Ovis aries: one gene and its partner. The protein of the gene in region 1 purifies or fractionates together with the protein of each later gene. This does not show direct contact. Links are inferred from orthologs where the notes say so. Each region holds a gene or a part of one and is shown on either strand. Other genes may lie near its edges.

Region 1 (3,277 bases):
GGGGTCCCCTTTCAGGTATGGCTGCATGGGAGGCTGAAGGACTATGTAGAGGGACAGAGAGGCTGAGACAGAGGCCAGAGATTGCGTGGTGGGCCAGAAAGGAGGAAACAGAGACCCGGGGAGAAGGTGTGACATGGTGAGCCAGTTGGAGAGTGGATGGGGGCCCCGGGCGTGGTTATGCCGACAGATGCATTGCAAGCGGTGCTCACCTTGGTGAGCGTTGGCGTAGTGTCCTTGGGATTCAGGTGCCTTTGTAGGACTCTGGGTGTCAGAGCAAGAGTCAAGGACGGTGTCTGACCCCGGCCCCACCCACAGGTGCTGGTGGCCACGCACGCAGGCTTGTACCGGAAGCCGGTGAGCGGCATGTGGGACCACCTGCAAGAGCAGGTGAGCCTCCGACTCCCAGGGCTCCCTGCCCGCCTGCCCACTCCAGGTCTCTGCTCCATGACCTTCCCTGTCACCCCCTCCCCAGGCCTGGCCGCCTCAGTTTCTTTGCTATCATGTCCTGGTGCTGGTGGCTGAGGCCAATGCTTTTAAACTCGGGAAACCAGAGTGGTCCGGAGAGAAATCACCTGTGGATTCATTCATGGGTTTGTTCTTCAGAACAAACAAAGCTTCTTGAGCTGAACGTATTAGTGGACAAGACAGACCTGCCTGCGCCCGGGCCCTCGTTTAAGTGTGTTGACCGATGTGTAAACAGTGAGGGAACGGCCGGGTGTTGATTAAAGGCTTAAAGGTGGTGAGTGAGGGAGCCGTGTGTCATCTAAGGAAAGAGCAGAGTAACGGCAAATGCAAGGATCTTGAGATGGATGGAGTCCGGTATTTTCGCGGGCAGGGAGGAGGCCTGTGTGGCTACCGCTGAGCTGGCGAGGGGGCAATGCGAGGTCAGACTCTGTGGGGTCCGGAGCCGCGTCAGGTGGGAGCGGGCGCCCTCTGGCGGCCGCTTGTGGAACAGGCGGTGAAGCGGCTGAGAAGTGGCTGAGGTCTGAGAGGCTAGAGGTCAGGCCTAGGGCGGGGCACCGACAGAGCGACCTCCTGGCGGAACCTGTTAGTGCGACAGATGTGGGCTTGGGTTCCTTACTGCCTGTCATGTGTCCCTGCCCAGGCCAACGAGGGCGTGCCCATTTCCATCAGGGACAGCATCTTTGTGGGAGGTAAGGGCCTGGGGCTGGGGGGGGGGGGGGGTGCTGGGCGCTGATGCGGATGGGCCGCTCCTAAGGATGCTGGTGGAGACGGGGCTCCGTGTTCCAGACGCAGCGGGACGCCCAGCCAACTGGGCCCCTGGGCGCAAGAAGAAAGACTTCTCCTGTGCAGACCGCCTGGTGAGTGCCCCACCCGGTCCAGACACCGGAGCCCGCCCCCACCCCACCCCACCTGACTTGCTCCCTCGCCCCCCCAGTTCGCCCTGAACCTGGGCCTGCCCTTCACCACACCAGAGGAGTTCTTTCTCAAGTGGCCTGCGGCCCGCTTCGAGCTCCCAGCCTTTGACCCGGTGAGGCCTGCAGGGCTGGGTGGGGGGCACACATGGATGGGGCCCTTTGAGCTCGCAGCCTTTGACCCGATGAGGCCTGCGGCGGGGACGCACAGGGATGGGGCCGGGTTTCTCTCATCTTGTCTGTCCCTCCCAGAGAAGCATCGCCCGCTCTGGGCCTCTCTGCCTCCCCGAGTCCAGCTCCCTCTTAAGCTCAGACCCAGAGGTGGTCGTCGCCGTGGGATTTCCTGGGGGTGAGACTCCCTGACCCCCAGAAGCCCCAGCCCCTCTCTGACTCCTCAGGCCCCACTCACCCTGCGCCCTTCACAGCCGGGAAGTCCACCTTCCTCCGGGAGCATCTCGTGTCAGCCGGATACGTCCACGTGAACAGGGTAGGACGTGGTCTTCAGTGCCCCCCCAACCCCTAGACGGCTGTGCTTTCTGACTCTCCATCACTCTGCCTCGGTGTCCCCCCGCCGGCTCTGGGTCCCTGTGCCCCTGGGTGTCCCAAGCCCCATCCTTGATCTCTCTCTCTGGGTCTCCAGGACACTCTGGGCTCATGGCAGCGTTGTGTGACTGCATGTGAGGCGGCCCTGAAGCAGAGGAAACCGGTCGTGATTGACAACACAAACCCCGACGTCCAGAGCCGGGCCAGGTACTGGGGTCCCAGGGAAGGCCCCTAGAGGGCGGCTCCAGGCCTTTTACCAAGCTCCCCATCCTCCCCTCCCCAAGGTACATCAAGTGTGCCCGGGATGCGGGTGTGCCCTGCCGCTGCTTCCTCTTCAGTGCCACCTTGGAGCAGGCGCGCCACAACAACCGGGTGAGTGAACCCCCCGAGCCCCTCCAGCCCCCAACACCCCACCAAGCCCTGGCCTCACCGGCCCCACCTCTGCCCCCGCAGTTCCGGGAGATGACAGACTCCTCCCACATGCCCGTGTCCGACGTCGTCATTTACAGCTACAGGTGGGGGCCGCAGGGTGAGGTGGGGGGACATAGGTTGAGCCCAATGGTTGGGTCTCGCCTCTAGCCTGCATCCTCTGCCGCCAGGAAGCAGTTCGAGGCCCCCACGCTGGCCGAAGGCTTTGCAGCCGTCCTGGAGATCCCATTTCAGCTGCACGTGGTGCCGCAGCTCGAGCGGCTGTACCGCCAGTTCTCAGAGGGCTGAGCCACCCTGCCCTACTGGCCCTCGCCCCTTCCCACAATAAATGCTATTTCTCCTAACTCTTGGCCACCATTTTGCTGGAGAGAAGGGTGGTTCACCCAGCCAGGCCAGCAGCACAGACCCGTTGGGCCCAAGGTACCAGGAAGGTGCTACTGGGGACTCTGCCCCCCTGGGGGGCCTCTGCCTCTCCTGGGTTGGAGAGGTTTATGGTGGTGGCAGCTGGAACTTGCCTGGCCCTGCCTCGTGTCTGCTTCTAGCTGAATGAGGCCCGTGGAAGCCACAGGGCAGGGAGGGCAGCCTGGGAGCAGCTGCAGGAAAAACCCTGGAACACTTGGAGCAGCAGGTACTGCCCAGGCTGGGCAGCTCCGTGCACGGTGGCACCCTCTCCCAGCTCAGGTGAGAGTGGCCTGGCCTCTCCAGAGCCGGGAGTCTGAACAGAGCCAAGTGGCCGGAGGGCTTTTAAAAGACTTTATTGGGGAAACGTACAGGGTGGGGGCTGTCCTCAGAGACATCTCAGGACGTGGTCCTCCATCTCGCTGGGCAGGCGCAGTCCCCAGAGGCCCCTGCTCAGAAGCATCTGACCTGCGGGGAGGGGGCAGAGGGACTGGGTGGGCGGCCCCCGCACTCCGCCCCAGGCCGGAAGC
Region 2 (4,659 bases), on another chromosome or scaffold:
AAATGCACCCTGGCACACAGCAATAGCTAATAAATGAGAGTTATTATTGTTTCTCTGAATAAACCAGTATGGCCAGATGGCTCAAATACTGTTAATCTTAAGTGGTATATGTCTTGCTTCTAAATAGAACATAAGACAAAAAGAAGAATCTATCTCTGCCTGTACTATGAGTAAAATAATCCATTTCAGCCTCAAGGAGGATATATGCAAGAATTAAGAGTAACAGTCTCGTTACTCTTTTTGGATTGCAAAATGAACCACATTTTCTAAGTTAAATAATGGCTCATTCAGGACACAAGTCTATCCACTTGTGTCCTTTCATGTGATAGTTCGATTTTGGAACTGGAGAGTATCTTCGGCCAAGGAAGGAATAATTTGCCAATAAAATGTCATCCCCTCTATACATTGTAAACTTCTCCAGGGAAAAGACTGTGACTTATGCTCCAGCTATAACAGTAGCTGGCACAAAGTAAACAACAATTAATGAGTTTTCGATTCAAAGTCTAAGGGTTTTATGCTGTATGGGATTCTGCAGGAACTTCTGGGAACGTAAGCTCAACAACTTTTCACTGCAGAAAAGCTTTTGTCATGGCTGCTTTTGATACTATAATAAAAGGCACGAATCTTTTCCTCATAAACACATCTGGCATATAGACCTCCTAAATTCATGGGGAGGGCCCAGTGTAGAGGTTGTTAGCATTTACCGTGACAAAGGTGAAATGCCTGCAGACATAGCTTGGGAGATCTTTGCTATTACTACTGATTATTTCATCTGTCCTTCGTCCACGTTGGTTTTATGTATTTTTCGTAGCTTGGAGAAGTAAACATTTCTCTTGTGAACTTATTCAAGCTAATTTCAAGCTTCTCCAAGAGGCCCAAACTATTAAAGGAATCTGCAATAAGACAAAATAACACAGGAAACCTTAATAATGTATGGAAGGGAAGACCCGAGGCCAGAAACCACTCCAAGCACAGTAAGCTTCTAGAAAAGCCACCTCTACAGACAACTCCAGTGATTATATCACAGCTTATAAAGTAGCATCTTTAGAGTTGAGAGAATGGAGCTGGAGAGACCTAAAAGGCCAATTAATTCAACAAGTCAAAATTAAGGTGGCATGTCTCGAGTTTGTTTGAAAACAATGAAACACCTGGCTTAGGTCGGCAATGAGATAACAAACCGCAAAACAACAAGCGCGCAAATCCGGCAGCTCTAAAGCCTGAAAATAACCACAAAGAATAAGTAACGACGGGTTAAGCCAAACCAGCGCATTTCTTTGAAACAAGTCATTAAAGTAGCCTCTGCGTGTGAGGAGGGGCTCTGCGGCCCTGAGGCTCTTTCTTGGGCTGTCGGCTCCGGTTGTCCCAGTTTGGACGTGCAGTGGCCACATGGCTCCCGGGCCCATCTCTCCCTCTGAGCCCCAGGAGAGTCAAGTTAGCGACAGGGCTCCCCGGCCGGGGACTGCCACTCAACCCTCCACCCCTTGTACTGGTTCGCAGCCCCTGCACAAAGCTCAGTTGCGACCCCAAAGCCCCGGTTCTTACCATAGTGAGGCCGGCGGAGCCCCAGCCACATCACCCTTCCGGGCCCAGGGCGGAAGAGGCGTGCACGGCCGGCTTGCCTTTCTCTTCCCTTTCCGCGGTTTGGTTGGGCCTGTCAGGGTACCTCCTCCTGAGGCGCGGGTCTCGGGCTCTACGATAGGCTCCTCTCTTCCGGAAAGGACGGGACTTAAATGACGTCATTCAGCCCCCGCGGAAGTAGGTAACACTCTCATTGGGTGCTGGATGTCCGCCTGTGGGAGCGGGCCTTTCGGAGGAGGCCGGAAGTGGAATTACTAACAGGTAGGGTCCGGAAGTGGCGACTGACTTTTAATAGTAGTCGGCGATCCAGTTATTATTATTTTTATTTTTCTTTACTTCTCTAGAACTCCTCCGCGCTCAATTTTTTTCCGGCTTAGACTCCCCTCGATGTGTAAGCTTCTGGCCCTTCTGTTTGTAAACACTGGGGAGCACCTGAGTTCTCTGGCGTTACCCTCATGTCGTGCATCGCCTGGGCTCCCTTTTCAGTTTCTCCCTTTGCACCTGCGGGATTCTTTGTGTAAAGCGCCTTTGAAATGCCCTGTAAAGCTGTGGGATTAGGACACTTGAATTCAGGGGGTTGTGTTGAGAAGGTGTTTGATCAGTTTTCTAACATTGGCATTCTCGCTTTTAATTCTCAGCGTTTTGTAGATTGTCAGTGGGTTCGATCTGAGGCTGAAAGGTGCCCGTTGCAGTCAGGAAAGAACTTTCTGTGGGAACAAATGGAAAGGAGCTGCCTTTCCTGAGTTCAGTAATTGATTAGGTGCTTTAGAGAAATGGTCCACCTGCAAGACATATACCAACTTTTTCTTTTAATCAGTATTATTATTTAACTTTCTCTAATTTTAACAATCCCATTAGATAGGTTCTATTCCTTCTCCCCAGATTCTTTTTAGAATATTATCAGTTTTTTAATACTTTGACTCAAAGTGGATTGAGAGAAACAGGAAAGGAAGTTCATATAATGCATTGATTTATGTGCTGTTCTTGGCCAAACTATGAGACCTTTCTATATTTAGGGCAACACAGTGATTACAATATTTGGGTTTCTACTATCTGTGATTGTATTGTTGGCTACTGCCCACCAAGTTTTTTTCTTTTCTTTTTTCTTTTTTTTTAAACCATTACTAACTTTTTGTTTGAATCTACTGAATTGTCAAGAATTGGTTAAGTACACAAATTTAGCAAGTACTTAACTGAGCTTTTATTCATACCATCATGAGATTGCTGCAGAGGGATAAAGATGGCCTGTTCCTTCCAGAAATTTTATGGGCATGGGGAAGAGGGGAATAAGAAATGTATAAAAATATACTGTAACCTTGTCCTATCAAAAAAACAAGCTGTAATGCTTTGTCTTGTGATTGCTTTACAATATATTTTTAAAGTCTTAACCATTCAAATTAAATAATCTTGGCTTGGTTATGGAAATTATGTTGTGCAACTCATCAAGCTTGGTTTCCAAAGTAGTAAATGTGTCTGCAAACATCTTGCTGTCATGTAGATTGTCTTCATTTACATGGACACTTGAGGGTTATATGTGATAGCTGAAGTGCACCAGGAAATTGAAGTTGTTAAAAATCACAGTTGATTTACTGTATTTATGAATTTTAATTAATTTTAGACCATGGGCTCTTATGTACTTCAGCTTCAAAATAGGGAAGAACAATGCCAGTTATTTTAAAGTTACCCATAGAGGAAGCCAAATAGCAATAGATAAGACTGAACATACATTTATATATAAAGTTTTTCATGTAACACAACAAAGTTAATCTGACACGATCTCTTGGCAAGATCTCTAAGAAGGTGGTAATTGAGATATATGGTCATTAAGCACATGAACTCCCTACTCTTGGCTTCACTGCCAGTGAACTAATTTAAGCACTGTCTTACATTGCTATATCAAAAATCTCTTTTCTAGCAGCTCTGGTATGGAATCTTATTTCAGACTATCTTGGATCATTTTCATACACACTAAAAGTGAAATCTGGTTCTTGTAATTTCCTTCTTCAAAAATTATTGCCTCTCCTGCATCTAGAAGAGTATTTTCAACTTTGATTTCTTAGGTTCAGTAAGAAATACTATTATACTTTATATACTTTACATACTGTTATATGTAAAAATAGTACATATTTATGTTTTTCTGTGCAAAGAAGGCATGGACCTCCCTAGTATTGTCAGGTATTTGACCTGCACAAAGCGCTCAATGGGGCTTCCCTGGTGGCTCAGAGGTTAAAGCGTCTGCCTCCAATGCGGGAGACCTGGGTTCGATCCCTGGGTTGGGAAGATCCCCTGGAGAAGGAAATGGTAACCCACTCCAGTATTTTTGCCTGGAGAAGCCTGGTAGGCTACAGTCCATGGGGTCGCAGAGTCGGACACAACTGAGCAACTTCACTTCACTTCTTCACTTCATTTCAAGCACTCAATGGAGAAGGCAATGGCACCCCACTCCAGTACTCTTGCCTGGAAAATCCCATGGACAGAGGAGCCTGGTAGGCTGCAATCCATGGGGTCCCAAAGAGTTGGACAGGACTGAGCGACTTCACTTTCACTTTTCACTTTCATGCGTTGGAGAGAAAATGGCAACCCACTCCAGTATTCTTGCCTGGAGAACCCCAGGGACAGAGGAGCCTGGTAGGCTGCAGTCCATGGGGTCCCAAAGAGTTGGACAGGACTGAGCGACTTCACTTTCACTTTTCACTTTCATGCGTTGGAGAGAAAATGACAACCCACTCCAGTGTTCTTGCCTGGAGAACCCCAGGGACAGAGGAGCCTGGTGGGCTCCCATCTATGGGATCGCACAGAGTCAGACACGACTGAAGCGACTTAGCAGCAGCAGCAGCAGCAGCAGCAGCAAGCACTCAATGGGCTTCCCTGGTAGCTCATCTGGTAAAGAATCTGCCTGCAGCGTAGGAGACCCTGGTTTGATTCCTGGGTCAGGAAGATCCCCTGAAGAAGGGATATTCTCCAATATTCTTAGGCTTCCTTGGTGGCCGAGCTGGTAAAGAATCTGCCTGCAATGTGGGAGACCTGGGTTTGATCCCTGGGTTGGTAAGATCCCATGGAGAGGGGGACAGCTCCCACTAC

Evidence for each region. The genes of interacting proteins can lie anywhere in the genome.
Region 2: the proteins of PNKP (region 1) and XRCC4 purify together in Homo sapiens (co-immunoprecipitation; 5 studies listed by BioGRID and IntAct, counting the BioPlex papers as one, with this or other methods). This does not show direct contact. The link is inferred for Ovis aries from reciprocal best matches to the Homo sapiens genes PNKP and XRCC4.

What each region holds. Positions count from the first base shown.
Region 1 is NC_056067.1:55,943,989-55,947,265, reverse strand, and holds the end of PNKP (bifunctional polynucleotide phosphatase/kinase), read left to right. Parts: coding exon 1-15; intron 16-315; coding exon 316-387; intron 388-1,105; coding exon 1,106-1,154; intron 1,155-1,251; coding exon 1,252-1,322; intron 1,323-1,399; coding exon 1,400-1,492; intron 1,493-1,628; coding exon 1,629-1,725; intron 1,726-1,801; coding exon 1,802-1,863; intron 1,864-2,016; coding exon 2,017-2,126; intron 2,127-2,203; coding exon 2,204-2,291; intron 2,292-2,372; coding exon 2,373-2,434; intron 2,435-2,498; coding exon of another isoform or gene 2,499-2,518; coding exon 2,519-2,636; 3' UTR 2,637-2,692; downstream 2,693-3,277. UniProt on the Homo sapiens protein: Plays a key role in the repair of DNA damage, functioning as part of both the non-homologous end-joining (NHEJ) and base excision repair (BER) pathways.
Region 2 is NC_056058.1:80,502,706-80,507,364, forward strand, and holds the start of XRCC4 (DNA repair protein XRCC4), read left to right. Parts: upstream 1-1,770; 5' UTR 1,771-1,839; intron 1,840-4,659. Other genes in the region: TMEM167A (protein kish-A), read right to left, coding at 1,543-1,545.